2 linked regions of the Lytechinus pictus genome follow. Each later gene encodes a partner of the first gene's protein in a complex. Links are inferred from orthologs where the notes say so. Each region holds a gene or a part of one and is shown in the gene's direction. Other genes may lie near its edges.

Region 1 (15,769 bases):
GCACGGATAAGAATGGGCAAATTTGGAGAAAGCAAAGAGGTAAAACGAAACGGGAAATGAAAGGAAAACCAAAAGCTAAATGGGAAAATCAGAGTATGAAGAAAAGGGACAAGAAAAAAAGAAGAAAGGATTGAAAAACATAAAGAACGGGAAGAAAGGTGGATGGCGTCTATTATAAGCTTGCTTAATTTGATGGTCGCAATCAGGACAAAAAAATCTCATTGGCAAAGGGTTCGCCAAGGGCTATATATCCCCCCTTATCATGTCCTAAGTTACCAAAGTAAAGATTGACGCTGCATGGCTATAGATTTAAAACATTTCCTCTTAATGTTTACTTTGGCTAAGTTTCTAAAGCTACTATCACATAATTAGAATTTAATTTAAAAGTCATTTTTAAAGGCCAAATTTTTCTGGCTTGCTCCGCTCGCTGGCTACTTTACAAATTTTACAACATTGCTATGCTGCCTCAAAATATTTCGTTTATTATCCACAACTGCGTTGAAGTTAAAGGAGAATGAAACCCTTGAAACCAGCTGAATCCATATATCAAAGAGAAAAATCAAAGAAACATATTGTTGAAAGTTTGAGGAAGATTGAAAGAATAATAAGAAAGCATTTGATTATTGAGATCACTAATGCCATGTAGATCCTCCCATTGGCAATGCGACCAAGATCTGTGATGTCACACACGTACAACTCCTTCATTACTTTAGTACTTATTTCACTTATATTCTCACTTTTATAGAGTCTATCACAAGGTGAGGTGTTCTCTTTATGAGAGGACAAGTACAGAGGTTTCACAACATTATATCATTGATGAATCGTTTGTCATATGATTAGAATGAGCAAAAAGAGATGTTTTGGGGTATATTTTCAGTGTCCAAAAGGGGAGAGTTGTTCATCTGTGACATCATAGATCTTGGTCGCATTGCCAATGGGAGGATCTCCATAGCATTAGTGATCTCGACATTCAAATGCTCACAACTCTTCTATTTCTAGTCCTATTTTACTCAAACTTTTGTTGATCTTATTCTTTGATTTTTCTGCTTTCACAAAAGCTAACTTGCTCCAAGAGTTTCATTCTCCTTTAATATGTGTTGTGTATGGACCCGCGATTTGATACAAACGTGGCCATCTGTAATGTTGACGTCCTAGACCAGATCCAGTACCAAGGGGGAGGTACGGAGTAATTGTCATAAGCATCCTACTAAAGCTGCAAAGTGCTCCAAAACAGCTTTAAATTTTGAACATTTTCTCATCTATTCCAGGGGCGGATCCAGCCTACGCCAATAGGGGGGCCGGGGTGGAATTTTTTTAGCCATATTTTCCCCGATCGGCCGCTCGAAGAAGATTTTTTGTTTCTTTGAAGCAGTGGCGTAGCTACGGGGGGGGCATGGGGGGGCACGTGCCCCCCCTGAGATTTGGTGTGCCCCCCCAGGTGCCCCCCCTGAAAAAAAATGGCAGAGCAAAAAAAACAAGAAAACAAGGGAGAAAGAAGAAAAGAAAAACAGAAAAGAAGGAGAAAGAAAAGAAAAGAAAAAAAGAAAAGGAAAATAAGAGGAGGAAGAGGAGTGAATGAAATAATGTACGTGAGGGGAAGACTTGCAAAAATAATCTTTCATGTTACTATATAATTTTTTTGCTCGCGCTTCGCGCTCCCATTATTGAAATATATACCGTCTTCGTGGGTAACTGTAAGCAGTCCTTAAAGGGTCCCTTTTTGACAATGCTAGAACAGTTAATATAAATTTCTGCTCACGCTTGGCGTTCGCAGTTATCATCTAGTTACATACGAATCTTGTTCAGGATCATACATAACATTTCCCAGAATATTAAATTTTCAGGACAAAATACATGAAAGTAAAAAAAAAATCGCTCGCGCTTCGCGCTCGCACTTTTTATAAGGCTTATGAGATTATTTCATGTTTATGTTGTTTTATAAGAATAATACTAAGAAGTGACTGATCGGGGAAAATGTAGGTGAAGATAATTTCGGGCCCCGTCCCCTATTGGCGATAGTCGGATCCGCCCTTGTGCATACACACACACACACCGGAAAAAATTGTGCCCCCCCCTGAAAAAGCAAGGACCCCCCAGTGCCCCCCCAGGAAAAAAATCCTAGCTACGCCACTGCTTTGAAGGGGTAGTTTAATAGTCATTTCTTAGCTTTATTCCTATAAATCAACATAAATATATAATATCATAATCCTTATTATAATGGGAGCGCAAAGCGCGAGCTACTTTTTTTTAAATTCTTATGTATTTTTCCTAAAATTTGAACATTCTGGGCAATTTTTGTTGTCCTGAAAAAGATGTGTATGCAACTAAATAATTACTACGAACGCGAAGCGCGAGCAGAAATGAACTGATGGAAAATGTACCTGTTAAAGACTGCATGCACTTTTAGCCATGAAGACGTTACTTATTTTAAAATTCAAATAATGCGAGCGCAAAGCGCGAGCTAAAATTTTTTGAGGTTTTACACAAAGAATGGATTTTCTAAGCACTTTTTGTAACTTAAACAGAATAGGTTTATAATTAAACAATTGATGCGAGCGCGAAGCGCGGAAATTTCGAGATTTAGACCTACTGAACGAAACACTCTATCATGTTTTGTAAATCATGAAAAGGATGAGTACTTGGGGATCTTAAATGATGAATTATGTAAAGTGTCTACTTGGTTCAAATGCAACAAATTGTCTTTAAACGTAAACAAAACACATTTTATGCACTTTAAACATTATAATACCCATGCAGTTAACGAAGAAATAATGATAAACATTGACAGCGTCACCTTACAACAAAAACAACATTCAAAGTTTTTAGGAGTAACTATTGATGAAAATTTATCGTGGAATAATCATTTACGCCATATCACCACTTCCGTATCCAGAGGTGTTGGGATCATTTCCAAATTAAAATACTTATTACCCCCCAAAACTCTTTTTCTTCTTTATAATGTCTTGGTTTTCCCTCACATATCATATTGCAACATAGTTTGGGGTAACTGTGGTAATACAAAACTTAATTCGATTTTCTTTTTACAAAAAAGAGCAGTTCGTATTTGTACAGGATCACAGTATCTCGCTAGATCTAGTCCTTTATTTTTTAAATTAAGAACTTTCAGATATAAATACATATCAAGCTGCTATCTTCATGTTCAAATACAAAAAGGGAATACTTCCCCCTTCCTTTCAAAATATGTTCACAATCAACAACACCATTCACTCGTATCCAACACGAAACTCTGACAAATTTCATCTCACAAATCCAAAACTAATAATAGCACACAAATCAATTAGACATTACGGTGCAGATTTATGGAACAATTTGTCACCTGAAATTAAGTTATGCTCTACACTTTATTCATTCAAGGCTGTTTTGAAGAGAAATACACCGTTAAAATATAATACCTAAAATTTATGTGTGTTACGTACCAACCGATATTACAACCCTCCCCTGCACTTGCACTCTCGCACACTTGCACTTTAACTTTTATCAACATGATTATAACTTCCTCATTTTAATTTTTCTTTCCCTATCTACTTTTTTGGTAATATTTCTATTATTTTGTGCAATAAAATATAAGTCTCTTTTAATGCACTATTTGTCTGATTTTCCTTCCCCTTTCCTTTTGAGGCCTTTATCAATTTCAAGCTCTAAGCTTAAGATGAAGGTCTCCCACATTTCAAAATGTATTATTGTTGATATATGTATATATATATATATATATATATATATATATATATATATATATATATTTGTTTTTTCTGCTATTTTTTTTTAACAATAAAAAAAGAAGAAATTTATCAGGTATAAGTATATTTCAATTAGATTGTATATTATGCATATGTTATTAATTATATCATTTGCTTATTATGTTATGCTAAGAAAAAAAATGATTACACTTGTATATGCTTTTTTTGGAATGTGGAAATAAATAAATCAAATCAAAACAAATCTTCCTTACATTAATAACGCGAACGCAAAGCGCTAGCAGAAAATTTTTAAATATTTTATTTTATTTATTTATTTCCGTTTTATTTCAACAGGGTAGCCCTTTCAGTTACAAAACCGCTCTACCAATGGGCCCTGTACAATAAAAAACAAATACACATAAATAACAATTTACACACAGAAAACTTAAAACTATATACTTAACTACAAATATTTACTCAAGTAAAATCACATTAAATTGAAATTAAAAAAGTAAAATCACATACAAGCAGAGTATTCATATTAAGTTTAAATTAAATCTAAAATAACACAACCATAATATTTACATTAAATCAAAGTTAATACTGCTTTTTAAAATTCAGAGTTAAAAGTTAAAATTCTAGATTGTTTCTTAAATATGGGAAAAGATGTTATAGTTTGCATATTCTGGGGTAAACTGTTCCATAGATTTAAACCATAAAAAATGCAAAGATTTCTTGTAATACTCTGTTCGAGGTGTTTTGATTTTTAATGGGCAAGAATGTGCATATCGAGTTTGAAAGTTGATATCACGATAAACAATATTTTCCTTTAAATATGTTGGAACTGAATCATTAATCAATTTAAACATGATGAGGTAGGTCTGATACTGTTGTCTTTGTACAATGTTTTGCCAGTTTAATTGTGTGCGAAGAACATTGGAAGGTATTGAAAAATCAGCATTAAAAATCAAACGAGCATACTTGTTTTGAAGTTTTTGTATTTTCTTAATATTGCACTTCCTAGTTCTACCCCAAATAATGATACCGTAATCAATATGTGGCAGGATTAATGCATTATATAACATGATTAATATATTTTGCGGAATATTTTGCTTTATCTGTCTGATACAACCAATTATTCTTGAAATCTTCGTAAATACGTTTTGAACTGATTGAAAAGGTACCTGTTAAGTTCGATCTGCTTGCACTTAGCCATGATGACGCCACATTTCAACAATCAAATAATGGGAGCGGGAAGCGCGAGCTGAAAATTTTAACATTTCTACATAAAGAATGGAAAATTTTGATCAATTTTTGTAATCATGAACAGGATAGCTATATAACTAAACAATTGATACGAGCGCGAAGCGCAAGCTGTTGAAAAATCGAGATTTAGACCTAACAACGGGACATTCTATTCATGTTTTGTAAATCATGAAAAGAATGAGTAATATAGGGGATCTTCCTAATAATGCGGGCACAAAGCGCGAGCAGAAAATTTTTGATATTGTGATCTTAAACTGGATAATGATTTAAATAGAGAACAAGTTGAGTATCTGAATAAACATGCGCGTGCGTGTTTCATATTTAGACCTAGAATATAGGCATTCTAAATTCATCTTTTATCATGAAAATCAAAGCGAGCGTGAAGCGCGAGCTTAAACTATTTGATATTCCGATCTGAAAAAAGAGTCGATTTCAGCTCTATATTTCAAGCACTTTGTAGGAAAATTGCGAGGTGGATATGGATCGCACTTAATATAGAGCTGATATTTTTCATTATAATCACTTTGAGGTTTGACATAGGACCGGGACATCCCTAGGACATGTCATCATATGAAAATGATGACTGTCTTCCTATTCCTCTTGCTAAGCGCGAGATGAAACAAAAGGAACAATTCAATTATTAAATTAATATCTTATTCATTAATGCCTAATGAGGGCGCGAATCTGATGATATTATGGCCTGAAAACTGGACATTTCAAGCACTTTTATATAGTTATAAATAGGATGCATCAGTTAATTTATTATAACCATTAATGCTGGCTCAAATTGCATGCGAGCCTAAATTTTTTATACACTGTCATAGTTTAAATGTTGTATAATCAATATTGAGACATACATAACTCACTAATCAAAATGTGAGTGTGCGGCGCTAGCTGATACGTTTTGACAATCGGACCTGAAAAGGGATATCTTGAAAACTTTATGGAATACACGAAAATAATAGGTACCTGATAAATCGAAATTTGCGAGCGCGCAGCGCGAGCAGAAAATGGTAACATTCAGACCATAAAACTGACATTTTTACAAAGCACTAAAAAAAAATTGTAAATCACACAAAATAATGAAAGTTCGATTTTATTCTCTTGATAACTTTTACCATCTTCACCATGTTCACTCTTTTTAAACTGTTACACCTGTATCGAGCAACTTTTTGATCAGGCCGGGCGGCACCAGGAGGATTTAATAGGCGGAAGATGGCCTACATTACGTCAAACCCCCGTTTGGAGAAAGACCGCAGTTCAGATTGCAAACTGCGGTTCTATACCCCATTTTGCGTTTGTAAATCCCAAAATCATTTCCAAGCCCAGGGGGCCGTTTCATAAAGCTGCTCGTAAGTTAAGAGCGACTTTAAGAACGACTGGTGATCCTTTCTCGCGCGCTAGATCTTCGCCAATGGTGTGTACCATTTACCGCAAGACAGGATCACCAGTCGCTCTTTATTTACGAACAGCTTTATGAAACACCCGCCTGATCAATCCCGCTAGGCCAGGTAATCCCCGCTGTCTCAATTTTACCTCCACAGGCCAGATTATGAGCGTTGAGCCAAGGACGAAATGATAAACAACAGCTGTGCTATTACGTAAGACTTCTCTGCCTGTAGTAGGACCTTCGGAATGAAATTATTGTATTCGATATTTAATCACGTTTTCAAATGCATATTGTATTCAGAAATCCAATGTTAGTCCATTTTCAAGTTCGAACGAAGAAAATCGACCTCGAAATAAGGAAAGTAAGTGAATTAAAATGACGGCATGCTTTGCTCGGGCTGTTGTGTTATCTTCGGACCGAGGTCAAGAAACAGGTGTTTTGATACTTAAATTGCTTGCTTGGGGCAGTTATGGTTTGTCGTACCAATAGGTCCATGGTCGTACTTGGAGAAGAGAATTGATTGAGGGAAACTGGGGTATAGTGTTTTCAAATGAAAGGTTTTCGTCATGTATTTGACCTTATATTTTCAGTATAGTGGTAATATAGAACATAGGTTGGTTGGTTTGTTGTTGGGTAGGCCTATATGTGTCGCTGGGCCTTGTCCGGGGGGTTGAGGCTAATTGCCACGTGGCCGGATGAAATTAATGTAAATAATTTCTGGTTGAAAACCTTTTTTTTTTTGCTCGTCAAATTTTCTTCATGTGTCCCTCCCCCTGCTTCTGCTCCAAATTCCTTTCCTTCAAGCTTTTTCCTAGTCCTGGCTCCCTTTCTTCCTTTTTATATGCTGTGGACTGTACTTTAACGGATGATGATGATGATTTATTTGTCTATGGCTGCACCCAGGCTGCACCCCCCCCCCCCCCCCCCCCTCCTCCTCGGCCTCCTAGCTCTGCCTCGGCCTCGCACGCGTACGCGCTCGCGCGCGTGATGCACAAGCTTCCAGTAATGCAAATGGCGGAGGCGAGGGCACAAGTGCTGTTGTGCGGTGTTGAGCCTGAGGTGAGAAAAATAAAATTGAAGTTTTGTTTTGAATTAAATAGACTCTACGTCCTTTGCTTCAAATTTAGATTAATATATTTTTAAAGTATTTAAACTATTTAATTTTGAACTTCTTCTGTTCTTTCGAAACAAATGATTTGTTATTTCTTAGGCCTAACAGAGGCTAGACTATTTTTCTTGTTCTCTGAGTCTGATTCAGTGATTGAACTTTGAGTTTGAAGCCAATTCGGCGCTAGCTGATGTAGCTTTCATCATGGCGTTTATTGCAATAGATTAACGTTAATTTAAAGCCGGGTTTTAAGCTAGACAGGAATAACCGTCGTTTCTGTGGATTTATTTAACAATTTCTGACATTTTACTATCACCCCCATGTATTGGTGAGTGAGCCAAGTTAGCCAACGCAGTTCAGCGGAACAACCAAAATACAGAGACTGAATGAAGCTTTACTTTAGTTTTGCCTAATTTTAAACTAAGACTAAGTCTACCTCAAGTCACTCATTCAATCAATGAACAAGGTTATGATATAACCTCGTTCTCAATTATAATTATATCTCCATGTGTGGCAAAATAAGGATGGCAATGTTTGGCTTATTTTCTCTTTTTCTTTGGGACAAATGGTGAAATGCTTGATTTTTTTACACTGACAGTTTCCATTACACCTATTCGTCATTACAACTTGGCCCTTTGGCTTTAGTAAATTTGATTCTTTAAATTATTTTTTTTCTTAATTAAAAATAGAGATAAAAAAGAAAATTTTCTTGCCATATTATTTTCCACCAATAGAGGGCGAACACAAAAATATGCCAAAAATTCAAGGTTTTGAGCGCTCTAGTGAATACAAAAATTATTCCCAAGTTACAAATGAAAAATAAATTGCAACTGTATGGAAATTAGTAATTTTGGTCACAAAAGTAATATTTTAATCATTTTTTAAAGTGTGTGCTCTTTACAGCATTGGCATGCCATAGTCCAACCTGTAGGCTGTAGATTCCCCACAGGCAGGGTGGTTGCAGTGAACAAGTGCCTCGAGTAAAGTTTGTGCAGGCTCCACCTCACTACCACTACCGCTACACTCCACCTACCCGAACTTCTACACCCGTATTTCACTCCGTGTCCATCCTCCGGTTATCCTCGAAATTGGTGATTTTGGGCCAGTATCTAATTCCTCACACGTATTATTCACTGCCAATTTCAAAACATCGCATGCGATCGGTCGCAGGTCAAACAGCATAAATATTTATATTATATTGGATGGCTTAGAAAATACCAGAAATATTCTAAGTCTAAGAGTTTGGAAAAATATTCCACGAATCAGTGGAATATTTTTCACCAATTTTGAGGCGAACCGGAGGATGGACACAGAGTGAAATACGGGTGTAGAGTAAGAAATTAAGCTATTTTTCTTTCACGTTATATATTTTTTCTTTAATTTTTACAATAAATAACTTTTTGATCCCACCTTTGTCACTCGGAATATCAGATCGAGTCCACGGTCCCGAAGTTCATGTACAGGTGGAGTGTAGTGTAGCGGAAGTGGAGTGGAGGCTGCACGAACTTCGCTCGAGGTAGCTAAACTTAAAGTCAAATTCGCTTGACCGAATTATCCTAGCCAGGTCAACATGGACAAGGCCAAACTAAAGCCTTTTTCGCTGGTATCATGATCTCAAAATTCCATGACCATGACAATTGACTAACGTTAGTGCATGCTCAGCTGAAAAAGTATCATAAAAAAGTGTATGGCAAGTTCCCCCAAGCACAAGTCTACGTCTGTGTAGTCCCCCTTGTCTGCGTACATGCCTATCTGCCTGATTCTAGAGTAAAAGGAGCCCAGGAGTCGACCGTGCAAAACGAGAGAGACACTGGGGTAGATTGGGGTCTCAATAGTAATCTTAATAAAATGTGGAAACATAAATCATGCACTTACTACGATTATATCGATGAAGATGAGGTCTATCGTGACATACAAATCCTGACATCGAGGCACAGACTGGAACCTAAAAAAACCTGAAAAGTTCTGTCGCTATACCTCTCATTCTTTCAAAATTCAAAACAAAATGGCCGATCGAGAGCGAGGCTATATTCTGGTTTTTTTTTAGGTTCCAGTCTGTGCCTCGATGTCAAGATTTGTGTGTCACCATAGACTTTCATCCACATAATCGTGGTAAGTGCATAATTTCTGTTTCCACATTTTATTAAGATTACTATTGAGACCCCAATCTACCCCAGTCCCGTGTCTCCCTCATTTTGCACTGTCGAAGATACGCAACGAACACAAAATTTACACATGCAACACATACCAGTGGATGTTCATTAAAAAATCTGACTCAAAATGGTGGGAAAATAATGAGTTTTGGGCATTTCATGTGACGGCCTCAAAATGCAGCCTTTCTCATCAAAATACCTGAATCGTGTGCAAAGTGAATGGGTGCGCAGACATGGGGTACATTTTTTTTAAATCTGAAAATGACTGCCTGAGGTTCTTTCCAAGAAAATCCTATATTTCTTTCAAATTTTTATGAGATATTAGGTACACTTACTTATGATAATATAAGAAACATAATTAATTGAAAGATTTTGTGAAATAAAAAGAAATTAATGTTAAATCTTAACTCAAATCGTTAGGTGGGACCACCATCATAACCTTAATTTGTGCATGATCGTTTTGCAAAGAGACTTTTAGCCGAAATTGAGGGATTCGGCATAGGTCTATCTAAGCTCATAGAATGTGAGTGGGTCAGGTCATTTCTTGTTGGTCGACAGCACTGTGTTTGTGTAAATGGTGTGTTCTCTGACTGGGCTGATGTAACCAGCGGAATACCGTAAGGGAGTGTACTTGGACCCCTGCTTTTTGTAAGGTACATTAATAATCTGCCAGATCAGATTTTGTCAAGTAGTGTTTATTTATTTGCAGATGACACCAAGTTACATGTATACAAGCATGAAAAAAATGATAAAGATGCTGAGTTACATGTATTAGAAGGGGACTTAGATTGTCTTGTTTCACGGTCTGACAAGTGGCTATTAAAGTTCCACCCGGATAAGTTTTAATAGGTAAAAAGAATGATGAATTTAATGACTATACAATGACACATGATAATGCCTCACATATATGTAATCTATCACAAGTTGAAACTAGTAATGATTTAGGAGTGATAGACGACACAAAGCTTAGTTTTGACCAGCACTTTCAGTTAAAGATAGGCTAATGAATCTAATTAGAAGAACTTTTTGTCTCGCCCACCAGAGGTGAAGGCGAGACTTAGGGATCCAAATGTCGTCCGTCCGTCACAAACCTTATGACATATAACTCCACAACCGTAAGTCGCTTTTCAACCAAACTTGGATGGTAGATGGACTTTGGGACCTGCATGTTATGCTGCAGTCGGAGGTCACATGGTAAGGTCAAAGGTCATTTTCAGGTCAACGTTAAAGTTTTCATGCAAGACTCTCTTATGACACCTAACTCTGCAACCGTAAGTCACTTTTCAACCAAACTTGGATGGTAGATAGACCTGGGAGACCTGCATGTTATGCTGCAGTCGGAGGTCACATGGTAAGGTCAAAGGTAATTTTCAGGTCAACGTTAAAGTTTACATGCAAGACTCTTATGGGCATTTTCACCACAGATGGACACAGAGGCAAAAAAATCAAATTGATATTTATGTCAAATGCTTTATGTTTTTTAATAATACAAGACCTGAAGTTTCTGGAACAATTTTTTTTTCCAACTGTGGCAGCCATTTTTTATTTCAAAATGGCCACCAGAGTATGGATACAAATTAGTGTTGAAAATGGTATATTGATACATATTTTGTTCTGACAGATATTAAAAGAACAGGTTTGATCATGATATTTTCCCCCGTGATTTAGCTTGCTATTATAACTTTTTATAAAATCCCATAAAAAGAATCACCAGTAATTCATTTATCTGATAAAAAAATGTTGATGAAGTATGTGATATGGTATGTAACGTCAGTTACCAAAAACATGAACTTTTTTTTTTCATTTCCCAGATTTCCTCCTTAGGTAACACCCCTCCCTTCTACACCAAAATAAAAGATAATTAACAATCAAGCCATAGGGTACCATAAAATATGTGTAACGTCAGTTACCAAGTGGAAAATGTAATGTCAGTTACCGAGATGTAATGTCAGTTACCATGATAAAACATTATTATCAATAGTGAAATGCAAATTTGGTCAATTTTATGGTGAAGAAATATTGTATACTTGTTATTTAAGCCTTTCACTGTCTTAATTAAATCACACCAGAAGGAGCTTGCTATTGACTTTTAAAAGGTATAGTTCACAAGGAATACTATATAAAATTATGAAGAAAGTTGCATTCCCATCATGCAAAAAAAATTACTGTGAAATTGCATATGTACATACTTACCAAGTACCTAGTTTGTATCAGACAAAAAGTATTTTTTTATTTTTCGGTTTTCGTGGGGGAGGGGGTACTTTTCCCAACCTATTGCCTGAATCTGCAACATTTGATAAGCTTAACATTGTAATGAATGGGAGTTTCCAGGGCCCCTTTTTTAGTTTCTAGGATTCTTTTGAGCATTGCCGGGCTAAAAGTAAATTCCTGGTTTTTATACCTGTTAGTAAGGTAGATGTGTGATACAATTTTTGTTTTTGGTTTAAAAGTATAGATGAAAAGTGAAATTTGATAGTTCTGATCCAGGGAAAAAATTAATTTTTTTTTTCGGGGGCTCCATTTTTAATTTTTTGTAAAATTTCGGGGGCTCCATTTCTACCTTTCGGGGGCTACTTTTTGCATTTCGGGGGCTCTTTTCAAATGCAACTTTTTTGTATTTTGAGGAATACCTGTTCACTTATTCATGAATTATATTACTTATTGTTTAATATTGTATGATTTTTTAAGTTATTTTTTTTCATGCTTAGAATCTTGGATGTGGGTGTGTGTGTGTTTGTGTGACTGTGAGTTGAACTTGGATATAAATGAATTAAATTTCTAATTTCTACTCCATCTATTCCAGTACAATAACCTGTACTTGGCCATGTTATAAAAGGCCCACATACCCTAACTTTTCCTAAAGTTATTTGAAAACGCAGATCTCAACGAAAATTGCATTTCTCTATTGGGGAGTATAAATTTGGTGAGAATGAACTCATTACTAACTTAAATATACATGACAATGAAGAAATCATCAAACTTTATTGGCAGTTTTTAATAATATACCCGAATTAATAATATACCCGAAATGTAGACTCTGTCTGAAACAGAAAATCACCATCATTGAGGCCTTTACTGAGCAAATTGTCCCCCAGAGCTCTGGCAGAGAGACAGAGCTCAGACTGGCTAGCTATTACATGCGGCAATGCGTTCGTGAGCCTCCCGCGGCCTTGTAAAATAGATGGAGCTTTGTTTGATGATTTATTGTCTGATATTTACCTCATCCCCTAGAAAAATAAAGCAAATGATTTTTAAGTAATAATCAACAAATAAGGTAAGTTATTATGGATGTTAATAGGCCGTTTTGAATAGCAAAGCCGAATGACGACTCACCAATGCGAGGTTACTAGACTCTGGGATTTATTTCCTGTGTAATTCGAATTATTTTATCACAGAATTGTGATATCTGTAGGGGAAAATGTGCATTAGAAATTGCACATGGTGGTAGTCATAATGGACCCTTATACATGCAACCGTTTCCCGACCGTTGCGTTGATATTTTTTTCATACCATGAGTATGGAAAAACGTGGTACAGAAAAAAAGACGCAACTTCGGGATTTCAAACTGTGCTCCTCGCTATTTTCAAGGCTTGTTCTTGATTGTGAGTGCGGATTTTTGATGTTTTTTAAATGGTTAGGCGAGCTCGAGCATATGGTGCTCGTGGGCCGCCGAGTTGTATCGCTCGGCAATAATTTCGGGGGCTACATTAAGATTTTATGTCGCCCCCGAAAGCATGATTTTGGGTGATTTCGAGGGCGACTTTAGGCATTTCCGGGGCGAATTCGTGTATTTTTTTCGCTGTTCTGATCAATGTTGCATGGATCTACTAAAACTGTCTTTTTTCTTATTTACAAATAGTTCAGTTTCAGTTTAGAAGCTGGAGTTTATTTTTTATTGACAGCTTAAAAAAGAAATTAGCAAAGAGAATGATTAAACACATTGTGAAGAAAATTGAAATCCGACAGATATGAACAAGCACTGCTTGCACTGACCAGAATATAAATCAATAAAACTGCATGGCTGCAAGAGATTCAGGGAGGGGTAGACTAGGGGAGGTGACCCTTGTTCATTTTGCCTTTTTTGAGGGGAGGGGGAGGGTTGAAGAAGGAAAAGGCTTAAAAAGTCAATATAAAACTGATGAATATATGTAAATGGGTGCATAGTCAGAAAAATCCATGTGTACAGTCAATGCAATATTAAATTACTATAGGAATACATGTAGCTGGTATGACCCCCCCCCCCCCGGGTAAGTAAAACATACATTTATCTTTTTATAATTTAAACTGTGAAATATTATAAAACTTTTATGATTTTAAAAAACCTTACATATAATATAAGTACCAAGAAAATTATGCCTTTGGAAATTATATAGCACTGGTAAATGTTAATGTGTAATGTCAGTTACCGACAAGCAATAATAAAATGTTCAAATCAAACAAAAGGAATTAAGAAAAAGAAAAAGTTTTTTCATTGAAATGTTCTTAGTATATAAACTCAGGTATACTTCCACATCAAGCTCACTTTCATATGAAGCCCTGCACAGAAGATACAATGCAATGATTCCACACATTTTACTTCCATGTGTTATCTCTATGGGAAATTCAGTGTAATGTCAGTTACCAGCATGGTCGTGGAAAAATTATCATAGCCCCCAAAAGACAAAAACAAATTACTTAATATTTTGACACATCTTAACCTAGTAATGAAGGTATATTACATATTCAAATTATTACTCTAGCTACTCAGGGACATGAGATATTTCAGTTTTACTGAACACCCTGTAATTGCATCCTTTTTGCGTAATGTCAGTTACCGACACATTTTTGCTTGCTGATGCGAAACAAATGTGGTTACATTGAAAAACTTAGTATTAGAGTATACAGCAAGGTTCCCTTTATTAACTCTATCAATAGCAAACTCTCATCATTTGTTGTTCTAGAGATACACACAATTAAAGGTGTGTAAGATTGTGCCGTGTAACGTCAGTTACCGTGAAAATGCCCTTATGACAAGTGTTATTCCATCCCAGTCATTTCACAATGAAGTTTCGATACAATTCTGTTGCGTGCCGTCGCAAATCACGATATTTCTGGTTATTTTCATCAGTGGGCGAGACACAAAATCGCTTTTGCCTTGTGTTTATCTTCACACGGAGAACTTTTTACTCCTTTACAAAGCATTGCATTGATTAGACCTCATTTGGAGTATGCTCATGCAGTATAGAGTCCATACTTAAAGAAACATATTCAAGTTATACTAAGTTAGTACCTGAAGTAAAGAAACTTCCATACAAAACAAAGATTGAAACTAAAACTTCCTACATTAGCATATTGTCACTTTTTCATGTACGCAAAGTCTATGGGGAAAGGGGAAACAGAATTTCCATTTTCAGACATGCTGAAATGGAATTTAAGATTTTCTAAAACGGAAAAGGCAATTTTTAGAAACGGAAATCACTGTCCCTAAACCCTATTCTTTGAGAAACTTTACTGGCTGTGTAATTGATGTGCTCTTTGCTCTTTCCAAACTAATTGTTCATCAAACATGACACCAAGATCATATTTAAATTTCTTCACTCTCTTGATGTGCTGATTGGAGAGCATTAAATACAGAAAATAGAAACATAAATTTTGTTTTCTTTATGTTCAGTGTCAGCTTATTGATAAAGCATTTTTGCTACCTGTAGACCAACTTGCCTATCATTTTGTAATTCATCAACATATTTTGCTCTAAAAAGCAAGAGGGTATCATCAGCATACATATACATGTATATGTACTTTGCATTCGAGATCAGTAAAAGCCAATTTAAGAATATTGATGTTTATTACAAACATTAACGGCCCTAATATTGAGCCTTGAGGCACTCCAATGGTAACCAGGGCAAGTGAAGACATATGATCATCTATTTTAGTTACTTGTGCTCTCTTTTCTAAATATGATCTGAATATCTATCTTGTGACCTTTGACACCAGCATGATCAAGAGGTTTCGCTGGTATGGCGATCTCAAAATTCTATTCCACAATGAGTGCACGCTGTGCTGGAAAAACGTTCTGAAGAAGTGTGATCTAACCTCGTGGAAAAAAGTTTTTTTGAGATTTACCCATCCACTTCAGTATTCAAATATAGGTCTACATGTATGTAATTCAGAGATT
Region 2 (15,679 bases), on another chromosome or scaffold:
AAGTAAACTCGGGTTCAGGAGAAAGATCTCCTGCCGGATGCAATCAGTTTCTCAAGATAATGGAAGTTCCCCATGACTGCACAAGACACCCGCCCTCTGTACCTTTCTCTGAATGATGCAATCTCTAGCTGGAATTTAATTTCTTGAGAATCGTTCCTTTTTATCAGAGGATGAGCCAGCCATTCCAAATGCGAGCTCGGCTCATTTTGTAAAAAAATAAATCCATCAGGGGAAAGGGCAAAGCGAGGAAGGGGTGGGAAGGGATTTTATTGTATTGTTTGCATGCATTCTATTATAACATCCAGTAATGAATCCAAGATATTACCTTGAAAACGGGAAAGGAATCACAATTATGTGGCTTACTTTTCTTCATGTTTATTAAATTCACTCGGTTTATCGACTCGACTTATTAATACGAATAGACGAATCCTTGGTATGATGAAAACTCGGTTCAATTATGCGCATCCAGCTAAAAATCTGAAGATAATGCTGAAGATGATTACAATACCAGATGCTCATTTCTAATAGTATGCAATATGGCCTGTGATTCACCAATTTCTCCCGGTTACACTTCGTAATTCCGAAGGTTCTTTATTCCGAAGGTTCGTAATTCCGAAACACGTAAATTGCCTATACATCGATGTTCGTTAATCCGAAAACGAAAAAGGGTTCGTTAATCAGAACATTTGTGGCGTTATTACGAAGGTTCGCTATTCCGAAGGTTCGCTATTTCGAAGGTTCGATAATCCGAAAACGAAATAATGTTTTTTATTCCGAAGGTTCGTTAATCCGAAAACGGAATAAGGTTCGTTGTTCCGATGGTTCGTTAATTCGAAAACGAAATAAGGTTCGTTGTTCCGAAGGTTCGTTAATCCGAAAACGAAATAAGGTTTGTTGTTCCGAAGGTTCGTTAATCCGAAAACGAAAAAGGGTTCGTTAATCAGAAAGATTTGTGGCGTTATTACAAAGGTTCGCTATTCCGAAGGTTCGCTATTTCGAAGGTTCGATAATCCGAAAACGAAATAAGGTTTTTTATTCCGAAGGTTCGTTAATCCGAAAACGAAATAAGGTTCGTTGTTCCGATGGTTCGTTAATTCGAAAACGAAATAAGGTTCGTTGTTCCGAAGGTTCGATAATCCGAAAACGAAATAAGGTACGTTCGTTGTTCCGAAGGTTCGTTAATCCGAAAACGAAATAAGGTTCGTTGTTCCGAAGGTTCGATAATTCGAAAACGAAATAAGGTTCGTTGTTCCGAAGGTTCGTTAATCCGAAAACGAAATAAGGTTCGTTATTCTGAAGGTTCGTTAATCCGAAAAATGTAAACCGGGAAAGCAGAGGAAGGGAAAGTGTGGTGGGGGGCCCCGTTGCTGTTCAATTGTTATGAGGATGGGAAGGCAAGAGCGGCCGAACGAATTTTCATTTGGGGGGCAAAGCCAAAAATGACACTCGTACGTCAAAATGGGCACTTTGGTGAAATTTTCACCATGAAATTATCATCTGCGTGAAGTCATTGTGTGTTTTATAGTAATTAAGTAGAGAAAACCCTCTTTGAAGTGACTTCTGATTATGGAAAGATGTATATTTAGGCTTTATTTTTCGCGAGAGAGTATGATGAGCGAGCGGTTTGGAAAAAAATTCAAAGCTGAAGTTGTAAAACTCGTTTTTGCGGTCAATTACTGTTAAAATGGCATTATTGCGAGGTGTTGCGAGCGTGAATCACAAGCTCAAACTTTCGGGCATTTCAATAAGAAATGAAAATAAACAATTCCGAGCAGGTTTCTGCTATACCATTAAAAGAATGTGCATCTAACCATGGACCCTAGGGTCCATGATCTAACTACAGAATTAACACGAGCGCAAAGCGCGAGGTTAAATATATACTGACCAGAAAAGGAACCTGTTAAGGACTGCATTAAGTGACCTCCTTAGAATACATATTTCACCACCAATCGAATAATGCCAGTGCGAAGCGCGAGATGAAAAATTGTAATATTCTAGCCTGAAAATTAATCTAAAATGTATACTTTAAAAAGAGTATTCATTTTGAAAAAAAGGAATTTTCATTATGGAAAAAATAGCACTTCCCTGTTATTTATTTTGGGGGTGCAAGTGCCCCCTGCACCACCCCCCCCCCCCCCAGTCAATAATTAGCTTTATTCTTATAAAATAAAGTAAATATGTAATAATATCATAAGCCCTTTTTTAATTAATGCAAGCGCTAAGCGCGGGCTATAATTTTTTTTTGAAATATGATGGGCAATATGCTTGTGATCTTCAAAACAAGATGCCTATGTAACTAGAACATGCGAGAAAGAAGCGCGAGCAGAAATTTTAAATATAAGCTCTGACATGTCTGACCTGATCTAAAAGGGCCATGTTAAGTAATTTTTGCAGTTAGCCATGAAGACGATACATTTTTCAATGGCGGCGGAGCGTATTTTCCTTGGGGGGGGGGCAAAGCCAAAAAAGGTGCACTTATATGCCAAAACGGGCATTTTGGTGAAAACGGATATTTTCACCATGAGATTATCATCTGTGTAAAGAAGTTGTGTGTTTTGTAGTAATTAAGTTGAGCTAAGTTATTTGAATTGATTTCTGATTGATAAGATAAATATTTAGGTTTTATTTTTCGCGAGCAAGCGAAGCGAGCAAGCGGTTTGGAACTTTTTTTTCAAATCTGAAGTTGTAAAACTCGCTTTTCGGTCAATTATGGACCCAATTACTGTTAAAAGGGCATCCTTGTGAGATGTTGCGGGCGAATCACGAGCTCAAACTTTTGGAAATTTCATGTAGGCCTAATAATAATAATAATGATAATAATAATAATGATAATAATAATAATGATAATAATAATAATGATAATAATAATAATGATATTGGTATTATTTATCAAGGGAAGCCATTTTAGTTCTGAAAACTGTTCTCCCAGCGGGCCCTGCTATTATTATTACCCGGCTTTGGCTGGGCTGCCTATATAGGCGCCCAAAGGAAGGCATTTAATGAATTTCTTCCTACCGGGTACCCATTCACCTCACCTGGGTTGAGTGCAGCACAGTGTGCCTACATTTCTTGCTGAATGAAATTACTCCATGGCTGGGATTCGAACATACGATCCTCTGTTTCATAGTCAGAAGACTAATCCACTGGGCCACAACGCCCCACATAAAAAGTAAACATGCCGAACATTTTTTGTAATCATGAAAAAAAGATTAACATTGTTAACTCTAGGCGTAACGATCAGTAAAATTTTATTAAAACATTTATATTCTTTATTACCATGTTTATTATGATCATCATTAGTATTATTTTTATTTTTATTACCAGCGGAAGCTCTTATTAAAATGACATCCCCTCCAATACAAATCCTATTATCTGGAGGTTACTCGCGGGCGACCAACACACTTAATCCCCTGCATCCTTAAACCATTTTCTTAAACAGCAATTGCTCAGATAAAATAGAAATTAAGCCTATATATGCTTGATTCGGGCGCCTATTCTTAATGCAATACATGCTTTGGTCACATGACACACATGTATCATCGTTCGTTATTACTATTAAATATTGCATAATATCATGTTATCTTGTAAGGACAACACCGTTCTTGTTACCAAAATGAATTAATTTCATTTTCGGAAATACGAACCTTCGGATTGGAACCTTATTTCGTTTTCGGAATTACGAATGTATGCGATTTCTCCCTGTCCATGAATAAGCTTTTCACACTGCACTTTTTTTAACCCCGGGAAATTTGTGGGGGTATAAGGGGGGGGGGGTCTTAGCCCCACCAAATTCCCGGGCCCAGAAGGAAGGGTTAGACCAGTAAAAAAAATTACTGCATGGTTTCCAGTAGAATTTTACTGGTTTCCAGTATATTTTTACTGGGCCAGTTGATTTTTAACTGGACGAGTAATAATCAACTTGAGACCAGTTCCAACAATTGCATTCCAGTTGAAGCAATTAGTAGCACCAGTTAAATTGTTTTTCATCAAACTGGTGTTTCTGGTCCAATAAATGGTTTCCAGTAGATTTTTACTGGTTTCCAGTATATGTTTACTCGACCAGTTGATTTTTAACTGGACCGGCAGTAAAAATCAACTGGAGACCAGTTCAAACAATTACATTCCAGTTGAAGCAAAGTAGTAATACCAGTTAAATTGTTTATCATCAAACTGGTGTTACTGGTCCAATAAATAATGACTTTATTTCAAGTCAGATCATTTGACGAATTATGGAAAATGAATCTTGCAATTCAGAGAAAGTTATTATCGTTATCATTGTTATCATCATTCTTCTTATAATTATCATAATTATTATTATGATTATTATGATCATTGTTGTTATCATTCTTATTACTGTTATCATTGTTATTGATACTGTAATTATTATTGTTAATATAATCATAATTATCAAGTATTAACATTATCATTAAAATAATTATTTCCTTTAATTATGATTAAGATCAAAGCAAGATATATTCCTCTGATATAGTCAACTGGTCTAAAGTAATTCATTGTTTGAAATTGAACTGGTCAAGACCAGTAATACCAGTAATTCTGATGATGCTGATCACGTGGTTTACCTCATTTGCATATTTCCTATTTTAAAAAGAAAAATCAGGATTTAGAATGGAATATCCTTGCAATGGCATTCATTGTTGTTTAAAAACTTTCCAAATAAGTGTGTGAACTAATTCACAATGAAAATGTGTAATTTCGTATATCACATTTTAAATAACAGCAGAAAGATTAATTTACTAACCATCTTTTCCATCACATTTCACTGACCATGCATGGTATATAACAAACCAAATGCATGAAATAAATTGATCCCGTAAGACCAGTACGAGGACCAGATCGACCAGTTCGAGGACCAGTCAGACCAGTCGAAAATACCAGTAAAGCCCAGCTTGAATTGGATACCAGTATGAAGACCAGAAACAAGACCAGTATAAAATTCCAGGAATTCAAGACCAGTTTAATTTTTAACTGGACCAGTAAAATTTTAACTGGACCAGTATGACCAGTTAGACCAGTAAACCGATGTTCCAATTGCAGAGTTACCAGTTAAAATTCTACTGGTCTAACAGGTCCAGTGGAACTGTTTTTTCCTTCTGGGGGGTTAAGCTTAGCCCACTTCGTTTTCACACTACGTTTTAGCAAAGTGGGCTAGCACGGTATACGGTACTATCTGGCCCTGCAATATGCTTTTCACACTGCATTCCCTTAACCCCATAATAATAATGAATAATAATACATTGTATTTATATAGCGCTTAATACATAGTGTTTCTAAGCGCTTTACAAAACGATTAAGTAGCTTACATCAATAACATTGAACAGTATAACACACAAGAAAGGAAATGTACAGTGTAAAGTATTTTCATATCACAAATTACAAATTAGCTAAGAAAACTGCCTGCTCAAGTTGGGAAGTACATGTACAAAATAATGATAATGATAAAAACAATGACGTTTATTAATTAAATAGTTCGCATTCAAAAAGTTTAAACAAAATGAATTATCAGAAATACAATTACATATAGATTATGTTTGATTATACTATCCTTAACCCCGGACTATCCGTAACCCGGCCATGCTATCCCTTTTTCGATTCACACTGTCTTTCTTATTCCCATACCATATGCTTAGCCAGGGATAAATAGTATGGGATAAGAAAGACAGTTGTGAATAAAAAAAAGATTGTATGGGGTTCCGCGGGGTTAAGGATATATATTAAGCACTGGCGTAAATCCGTGTTGATGGGTGGGGGGGGGGGTGACTGAAATATTTGGCATTTTTTGCAATCATTTTTTAGATATGCAAGGAATTGTCATTGATATGTCCACAGTGGCGTACCGTGGGTCACGGCATTGGGGAGGGGGGGGGGCACCAGCAAAATTTTTGAATCACTAAGTGAGTGCGCTAAGTTGCCAGTTATACTGACCTAATAGAGACATTTTAAAGACAATGTCATTAAACGGATATGTAGCTCACTGATCAAATAATGCGAGCGCGAAGCGCGAGCTGAAATTTTTTTATATTCACACCTAAAAAGGGACAATATAATCAAATTTGTGTAATCATGATAGGTACCTGTCTCGCTAAACAATGCGAGCGCGAAGCGCGAGCTGAACACTTAGATAATTCAGACCTGAAGTGGGGCATTCTAAGGTTTCTTTGTAGGAATTAACTAGGACCATACGTATTTCATTAACCAAATGATGCGAGCGCGAAGCGCGAGCTGAAAATTTTTGATATTCAGATCAGAAGAAGGGACATTTTAAGGACTGATTTTAGGAATTCATGAAGAGTAGACATATCTCACCAATCCACTAATGCAAACGTAATCACGGACAGGAAATGTTTCATATATACGAAGACCTTAACATGGGGCAATCACTTTTGAGTCATGAAAAAGAAGCATATGTCACTACATAAAACAATGATAACTCAAGTGCTAGGAAATATATTTGGTTTATATTGACTTGAAAACGGTATGTTACAGGATTATATATCTCGTTAAACAGACAATGCGAGCACCAGGAACAATAAAAATAGACGTAGGCCCTGGGCAAATTATGTTTCATAAAGTTGTAATGTAACATAACATAATTATAATATAATATAACATTATAATGAATAATATAACATTATAATGAATAATATTTTCTTCTTTCCCACTACGTTTCTCTTCCTTTCTCCCTCTTTTCTCCTTTTCCCCCTTTCCTCGTTTTTGTTTTTGGTCAGCCGATGGGGGGGGGGATGTGCCCCCCCATGTCCCCCGTAGTTACGCCACTGTATGTCCATATAAATACCCCTCCAATATTATTATCTTTTTTTACCCCATGATGGTATAATGGTTTTATTAGAGATTACATTAAACAAAAATTGACATTCCATCTTCATCCCTTCCCAAAGACCCCAACATTGATGAATTGGAAGAAACAGGGGTTTCTCTTCAATGTTATAATAAGGACATAAGTATTTCGTTTGGAAATGGTGAAATGGCTCTTTATTTGTATTTTATGATTTAATAATATTGTTTTATTTGTTAAGCGGTATTTTAGGAAGAATTTTCACCAATAAAACAATTATCTTTTGTGATTTTTTTTCATTTCTTTCGTAAAAAGTGGGGGATGTTTGTACAGGCCATCCCCCCCCCTCCTCGAAAAGTGGGGGGATATATCCCCCCCATCCCCCCGGGATTTACGCCAGTGATATTAAGGGTTAAGGAAATGCAGTGTGAAAAGCATAGAAGTCGCTCTCAAACGACCCAGGAGCACTATACACTGGATTCGACAATAAAAGGACTACCATTGAACCACGAAACCATTAAAAATGGCAATTCCAAACGTTCTGGGAGGAATGAAATTTGTTTTACATGACAATGAGGAGAAAATGTTCTTAAAAAATAATATACAATGACTGACTGATAGACGCTGAAGACTGAAATGTCATCATGGAAAGGATTATAATACAGGAAGGATGCCTTGTAAATGCTTTGAGAATCAACATGAGCAGTGGCATGCTTAGTGAAATCATATGTGTTGATCTCCAATCATTGAAATATACTCCGCTTACCTGTATGTAAACTTAGGCCCTAAGACTATATACGGCTATAAATAGGCACTATATTAGACTGGAATGTGATTTTTCAAATTTCATAAGGATTATTATTTTTTTTTCTTTTAATTTCATAGAATAAAATTATGATGGTGATCCCATGGTGATTATGAGTGTGTGTGATTGATTTTTTTCTCGTTTATCTATCTGGCCACCAATCCCGAGAATTCAGTAAACAAATATAATATCAAAATGTTTATTCAGGATTGGATGTTAAGAAATCGGATTAGATCCAATTAGTGGAAGATGAAGAAAAAGCAGAATTAGAAGATGAAATAATATACTGGGGGCGGGGTGCCCGGCATCGGAAGGGTGTACCATCGACACCCGTACGTGCATCGACACTAAACCACTGCCTCACATGGCCATCAATGAAGTTGTAAAATGATTGCGACATAAATTTTTTGGAATGAGTCAACGTAGTTCGCTGATCCTCATCTCTCATTCATATCCCCGTCCATACAATGTACGAAGAACCACGAGAATTGATACAGCAAATAGTCACGTCACACGCCCTTGAACCGCATTACTCAGAACATGAGATTGAAATTGAGAAATGCCTTCTAAATTTACCATATCAATGAAAAATAATATTAAGTTCATTGTTTGTGATAATCTAAAAGACTTTGACGGTAAGAGCTCTTTGTAAACATTTGCCAAAAGGAATGTAAAACAGAACTATATTTTATCTTGACGCGCAATAATAATTAAATGGCCATAATTCGCACGATCGTTCTCTCTCGTTCGTCTACACAGATTGTGACAGAGGGCAACGAGCTGTCTCCGTGCAGTTTGCCATTTTTTGCGTTCAAAAAAATAAAAAATACAAAAAAAAATACAAAATTGTAAAAAAGAAATATAAAAATATTATTCTTAGCTTCTCCGTCTGTGAAATTCTGTTGTATCTTGCCGTTAATTTCTCGTTCTTCCATCGTCTTTTTTCATCGGTTCTCGCCATATTGTCCAACGAGCGTCAACGGTTGGTCGTCGTGCACATTGACATTGCATTGTCTCGGTTCATTGACTAAAAAACGAATTTATTATCATCTGTGACTCTAAAACTCATCCAAGATGCAAGCCCCAGGACAAAATTATCCTATGAATTCTCTTTACGTCGGTGATCTTAACCCAGACGTCACAGAAGCTCTGCTCTTTGAGAAGTTTTCATCAACCGGACCGATTTTGTCTATTCGAGTCTGTCGTGACATGATCACACGTCGTTCGTTAGGCTACGCCTACGTGAATTTCCAACAACCAGCAGATGGTAAGATTAGAACTTACGTTAACTTTGAATAAAGAATAAGTTACACTTACAGACACAATTAACGTCAGATCGATCTTTAAGCCCAGAAATCGATGGGTGCACACATTTGAAAAATTATGTCTGGGGTGTCTGGAGAAAAAAAATATTTTTCTCATTTCAAAAAAATTTCATATTTTCTTTGTGAATTTGAATAGAAATAACCTTCAGACTGACAGAAATATAAAATTTTATGAAAAAATCCAATTATTTGCTGCAAAAAAGAAGAATGAAATCAGGTCAATTTTCAGCATTTTCCTGCCATAGTCAAGACTGTGTAGGCCTACCTGGTATTAAACTAATGGTATAGGCCTAGTCTTGAGGACTCCGTGAGCATATTTTTTATGATTTTGATATTGTCATAACTCGCGGAGTCTTCAACTTTCAAGGCATCCTATCTCAGTTAGCCAGGCGGCTTCTAGAGAGTAAAAATCATTTACTAATGTAAGGTCACTCTCATACGAAGCCAGGCCTTCTATCCCATCAGTAGACTGGTAGAGGCGCACGGCCAATGGGAGACTCTCTCCAATAGGGGAGACAATCTCCCACATTGGAGACTTGCTTTGCAAAAGGACAAAAGAAACAACACCAACATAGTCATAAGTATGATTTTTTCCACCCAAAATTTTGTCTCACTGAGGTCAGAAGCCCATTTGTTTTGTGTGTGATTGACAACAAAATTCCTTATCAAAATAAAAGTAGAAGGTGAATTTTTAAAGTAGACGGTGAAAAGGGGTAATTTTTCATGAGGAATCTGCTTATCACATTTTTATTTGCCGCCAAGGTACGGTAATCCTTTTGCAGCAAATGTAAAGAAAGGAAATTGGACTCCAAAACTGGAGACTGTCTCTGAAATTGGATAGGGCCTACCCAAATTCTTTACAAAAGTCTCTGATATTGGAGATAATCTCCCACAGTGGAGACAGTCTCCAATATTGGCCGTGCGCCTCTACTGCCCATAGACCCACACAATGGAAGCCAAAACCTGAAACTTTCACCCCCGAGATTTCTTCTTTCCTTCTAAAAGATCTAGCTCTAAGTCATGTACATGGGATAAAACTTCATTTCCGACATTTCTACGCTCTCGTTATTTTTAAAACAAGAATTCATCAAAAAAAAGAAAAAATATTGTGAAAAGACGGAAGAGACTTGCACGATGTTTACGCCGCCATCTTGTTTCTTATTGTACTTCCCCAACGTTACGCTACGCTCGCGTCCGTAAACCCAGGGGCTTACCGTGTATTTGACCATACTCACGGGACTAGGGTGATTTATGGTCTAAATATTTCTCCAAATGAATTGTGAAAACAGAAAGTATACAATTACCACGATTATATGGATGAAGGTCTAACGAGTGGCAGTTTCCTGACATCTGGGCACAGACTGGAACCTCAAAAAATGAAAAGTTCTCTCCTTCTACCCCCGTCTCGATCGGCCATTTTTGTTAAAAATCGTAACAAAATGGCCGATCGAGACTGGGGTAGAAGGAGAGAACTTTTCGTTTTTTGAGGTTCCACTAAAAATTAAATCTGACATAGAAATATCAAACACAAAATTGTATTTTTTTCTATATTATAATTTGATGCGTAGAGTGATCAGCCATGCAAAAAAAAAAACACTTTTGACCGCCCCCTCCCCCCCCCCCCCATCCGAAGCATATAGATTGACAGGCGTGATAGATAAATTGAGAATAACCTAGAAGCATTGAGAGTTTAAAAAAATTATTGGAGCTATATAATCATTGAAAAAGGGTTTTTAAAAATGTGAATATTATAGAAGTTTCCTCAATTGCTAATTCCATTCTTTTTAATTTTTGTTTGTGCTTTTCTTTTAGACGTTTGTAATTTTCTTCCTCTTTTTGTCTTTTTTATATTATGGCAAAAAGTAGCCAAATAAATAACTCATGATCATATATGATAATGATTTTAATTAATCCAAATCAAAGATGCATTTAAATTGTATTTTCATAGGAAATTCCAAAGAAATTGTTGTTTAATCATTGTTAGTAGAGACTAAAGGTAAATGGAAATATGAAAGAAAATTACAGTAAATCCTGCCAAACGATAGTTATTTGCCCGTTTATGTTCTTCTTGACGTTTGCGTCTGCTAGAAAAAGTGCAGCCATCGTCATCCCCAACTTAACCTCTCCTTAACGCAGTGTTAAATTTTCGTGTTATCTTTGAACAAAATTTTAGCTAACACCATTTTCAGAATACCAAATTTCGTGTTATCTTCCTCCCTAACACCGCGTATGGGGGTTGCGCGTTGTGCACTGCGTATTTCATGACCTGCGCGGTGTTACCATTTGGGCCACGTGTTTTTCATGCTAACACGATTTTCAGAATACCAATCGTGTTAGCTAACACCGTTTTTGTGCTAACACGGTTTTCAGAATACCGCCCCTGGGCTCCCTGGGTTAGGGGAAATGACAATCTCAACACACACACAAATAAGGGTTTGCAATTTATCTCTAAATCCTTATTTAAAATGATCATATAAACTTGTCCTTACTGTCAAAAGAAGTCCCTGAATTTTCCCTTTCCATACATCCCACACATTAGATAGAAATCAATTCAGATCACATTTTTTTAGCAGCCTGAATTTCCCGAAAAAATGTGCCATATTTTCCCCTAAATTAGCCTGTATTATGCTGACACTTTTCAGTGTGGCTTCAGACACCCTATTATGTCAGTCGAATCTTGTCAGACTTAGCCAGGCGGCTTCGAGAGAGTAAAAATCATTTACTAACGCAAGGTTACTCTCATACGAAGCCAGGGCTTCGTATGAGAGTAACCTTACGTAAGTAAATGATTTTTCCTCTCTAGAAGCTGCCTGGCTAGTCAGACTCAGAAACTTTTATTCACTCAATTTCAAATCTCTTTCTCACTCTCAGTTCACATATTATAATCTAAATCATAAAATACCGAATGGAAGGCAAGACCAAGTTAAGTAAGAAAAAAAAATGAGTAGATTCTAGGCCTACAACTTTACAGTTCATTGTCATATTCGATAATCATAATTTGAGATTGACATGATTGAGAGCATGGATACTAATTATTTATTGTAGCATTACGAGGCGCTAGACAGCTGGCAGCCGTCTGTTTTGAGGAGTTTTTTAATATTTTCAATTTGTTTTCTCCTCGTACACAGACCTTGACAGACGGTTCGCGATCGTGCAGCCGCCATAAGAGGGTTAACAATGCAAAATCCGTCCCAACGGGGCTCATCAAATTTTGTCTTTCTGCTGATTTGACTCACTTCGCAGTGACGTATGAGGCGCTGTTTCTAGTTATAATAATTAGTCTATTTGCATACAATTCACATTTTTGTTGAAAATAATTTAAAAGTAACAAAAAATGTTATTTAATAGCTTACTATTACTAAGCAAGGTATATTCAATTGATTTGCAAGTAACTTGAAGGAAAATGCTGACTTGAATAAATAGAGAAAAATCAAAGTAGCATAGTGCTGAAAATGTTATCAAAATCGGATGTAAGATAAGAAAGTTATGACATTTTTAATAAAGTTTCGCTTATTTTTCACAAAACAGTGATATTAACAGTAGGCCTGGGACGAATACCCTTTTTGCCATTCGATTGTTTGCCAGAGTAAACAATCGATTAGTTGGATTAATCGAGATTCCTGGAATATCAGAAATCACACACACAAAAGTTGACCTACTTCCATGACCTACGGGTAGCTGCGCTAACTGGTATGATGGGAGTGGAACTTGGAATAAATGCATTGTATGTACATACAAGGAACATGTACTTGCTCATTTATCCCGCCCTCACTGCACACAATGAACGAATAGCAAAGGAGATTGAGAACTGTGCGTGACCGCTATATGGTGCATGGATGTGTTGTATGTATTTATAGCTATGCTTGCACTTGCTCTGGTATGTCATAAATCCTGCCCATGAGTGCACACAATGGACGAATAACAAGGAGTTTGAGAACTATCAGAGATGCCAACCCTCCCGATTTCATCGGGAGGCTCCCGAAAATTCATCCCAACTCCCGCCCTTACGATTACCATCCTTATCCTCCCGAAATTACGATTTTTTTTGCATTGATCAAATTGGATTGGAAGTACATGTATCGTCTGCTGACTTAAGCATGTAGTAACTCCATTACGTTTCGCTGCTACTAAATTCTGTGTGAAAGGCAGACAAATAAGGAGCAGCGAAAAGCTGGTGCATGTGATATGCCCAACGGGAATCCACTGTGCACCAGGCCGGTAGGCCCGGCTAGCTTCGCGAGGCGTGTGCGCTCGCGGCCGCTGGATTTGTCGAGTCGTGCGATGGAATATCGGTGTGTGATTTCGGCGTATTGATGGGTTGATATTGACACGAAATGGCGGAAAATCAACAAAAAAAGACCAAGAAATGGTCTCAGAAGTATAAGACTGAATACAGTCTCCAGTACCCGTGTATTCGGAAGTCGGAAAGAGGAATCTACCATGCATTTTGCACAATTTGCAGCGTGGACATTAAAGTTGAGCACGGAGGTCGTGATGATATTCGGAAGCGCAAACGGCATACTGACATTGCGAAGACGAGATCTTCGAGCTCCACTAGTACCCTGTTGACTTATTTCACCAAGCAAGGGACCAGCGAGGAGGAAGACGTTACCCGCGCTTTAATAATAAAGAGGATAATTCCTCATTATTATAGTTGAACAGGTACTTTTCTTCTATTGTCCCCTCATTTTTTTACATGTAAAATGCATATTTGATATTTTTATTTTTATGTCAAAAAAGTGGGAACAATGTTTTTTTAAAAACATGTGAAATGCTCCAAAATAAGGGTCAGATTGCACCAGAGAGCATCTAGAAACCCAGAGCTTCCAGGGCCCTAAGGCGGGCCCTCGACCCCGGCCGCAAGGGTCGAGCGCTCCGCGCTCGAGATGTGCGCTACGCGCACATAATTTGGTGTCGGTTGCAAATCCTCCCTAATTCTGATTTCAAAAAGTTGGCATCTCTGGAACTATGTGCGTGACCTCTAGAATGCATGGATGTGTTGTATGTATGTATTCCGTATGTTAGTATATGAACATACATGTAGGTCCCGCCCATGAGTCCATTCCAAGAACGAATAGCAAAGGAGATTGAGAACTGTGCGTGACTGTGAATGGACGTGTTGTATGTATTGCACTGATGCGAACGTAGATCCCGCCCACAAGCCCATTTAAAGAACGAATAGCGAAGGAGATTGAGAACTGCGCGTGACTTGGAATGGATCCTATTCGTTCAGTCATTGGGGGAAAAGTTAGGAAAGCGCATCCGGCGGAAGGAAATGTGTCAATCAAACCCACCACGTACACGTACCCAAAGATAGAACTACTTGTGTTACGCAGAGAAGGGAATTTTGCGGGGGCCTATTTCGTGGGCGGTTCCAGTTGGTTTAATAGGCTCTGCCTCAAAACTACCTTGTACAGTGACAATGCTTTCGCGCACGTGGTAAGTCACTGATATTGTTTGAGTGGGCGGGTATAACATAATATAGCAAGTTTGATACTGAGGTGTGGCTTCTCATGACTGATTCAGAGGATTCGCGTACAAGTTAACTATTATGACAATATGGGCGTATTTGTTAGCGCTTTTGGAATGATTATTGGGCGTGGCTGTAATCACATACAATGTATAATGAGCAAACTGAGCTCACCCGACTCAGTGTGTCCAGCACAGCGCCTATAGAGACGTACGTGCACATCAGCCCAACACATCTGAATTGTGCGTGGTCGCCGCGGCTTAGTCGTCATTGTGTGTCATGAAAGAGATACAATCTTTGGAATTCGTTAATTTTAGCAGAATTTTCATTTGATATCTTGCACTTTGTTTTCAAAAATCTAAGTTTACAGTTATGTACTTATGATAATCGAATGTTTCAAATCAGTAATCATCATCTGGCGAACATTCGATAAGTGTAAACAGTAACATTCGAGTGCCGATTGTTGGCAAACTGATCGAATGCTTCGATGGATCGAATTTTACTCCCAGGCCTAATTAACAGCTAGTTGAGTCAATCGATGATGTCCATCACTCACTATTTCTTTTGTTTTTTATTGTTTGAATTATACAATATTTCATCTTTTATAGATTTGACAATAAGGACCAACTTGACTGAACCATATAGTATTAGACAATGCTAATTCCACATGTTCAGGGAGGAATTAATTGCTGTATCACTTGACAATGAGAAAATTCGAATATTTCATATAATCAAATACAAAAGAAATAGTGAGTGATGTCATCACTTCCCTCATTTGCATACCAACCAGGATGTGCATATAACTGTTTTGTGAAATTAAGCGAAAATTTAAAATGTCATAACTTTCTTATTTTACATCCGATTTTGATGACATTTTCAGTGTTATGCTTGTTGGATTTTTCTCTTTTTATTCAAATCAACTTTTTGTTGGGGTGGACTTGTCCTTTAAATTTTCAGGAATAAACTGTTTAAGTTGAATTCAATTTTCTGTTTCTTTTCCTCGTAGCTGAGCGTGCCTTAGACACAATGAACTTTGACCCACTGAAAGGTCGTCCAATACGCATCATGTGGTCACAACGTGATCCCTCACTCAGGAAATCCGGAGTTGGTAATGTCTTCATTAAAAACCTTGACAAATCTATTGACAACAAGGCCATGTATGATACTTTCTCTGCCTTCGGACACATCTTATCTTGTAAGGTAATGTATCCCATATATGTTAAACGATATTTCTAACAACACCGAGTCATGAAGATATTTAATGT

Evidence for each region.
Region 2: the proteins of cold shock domain-containing protein E1-like (region 1) and polyadenylate-binding protein 4-like are in contact, whole or in part, in a crystal structure (PDB 7ZHR), measured with the Drosophila melanogaster proteins. The link is inferred for Lytechinus pictus from reciprocal best matches to the Drosophila melanogaster genes Unr and pAbp. Residues at the interface, in NP_648226.2 of Drosophila melanogaster: Leu843, Glu844, Thr845, Thr846, His847, Asn848, Gly849, Val850, Glu870, Ile871, Leu872, Asp873, Glu874, Thr878, Val879, Ile880, Ser881, His883, Leu902, Ile907, Asp908; in NP_476667.1 of Drosophila melanogaster: Asn184, Tyr186, Lys188, Ser211, Lys213, Met215, Phe225, Phe227, Ala229, Tyr255, Ala257, Arg258, Ala259, Gln260, Lys261.

Annotation. Positions count from the first base shown.
Region 1 is NC_087247.1:53,963,080-53,978,848, forward strand, and holds the start of cold shock domain-containing protein E1-like, read left to right. Parts: upstream 1-7,328; 5' UTR 7,329-7,413; intron 7,414-15,769. UniProt on the Drosophila melanogaster protein: RNA-binding protein that acts as a regulator of dosage compensation in both males and females.
Region 2 is NC_087245.1:30,413,621-30,429,299, forward strand, and holds the start of polyadenylate-binding protein 4-like, read left to right. Parts: upstream 1-8,145; 5' UTR 8,146-8,693; coding exon 8,694-8,886; intron 8,887-15,420; coding exon 15,421-15,614; intron 15,615-15,679.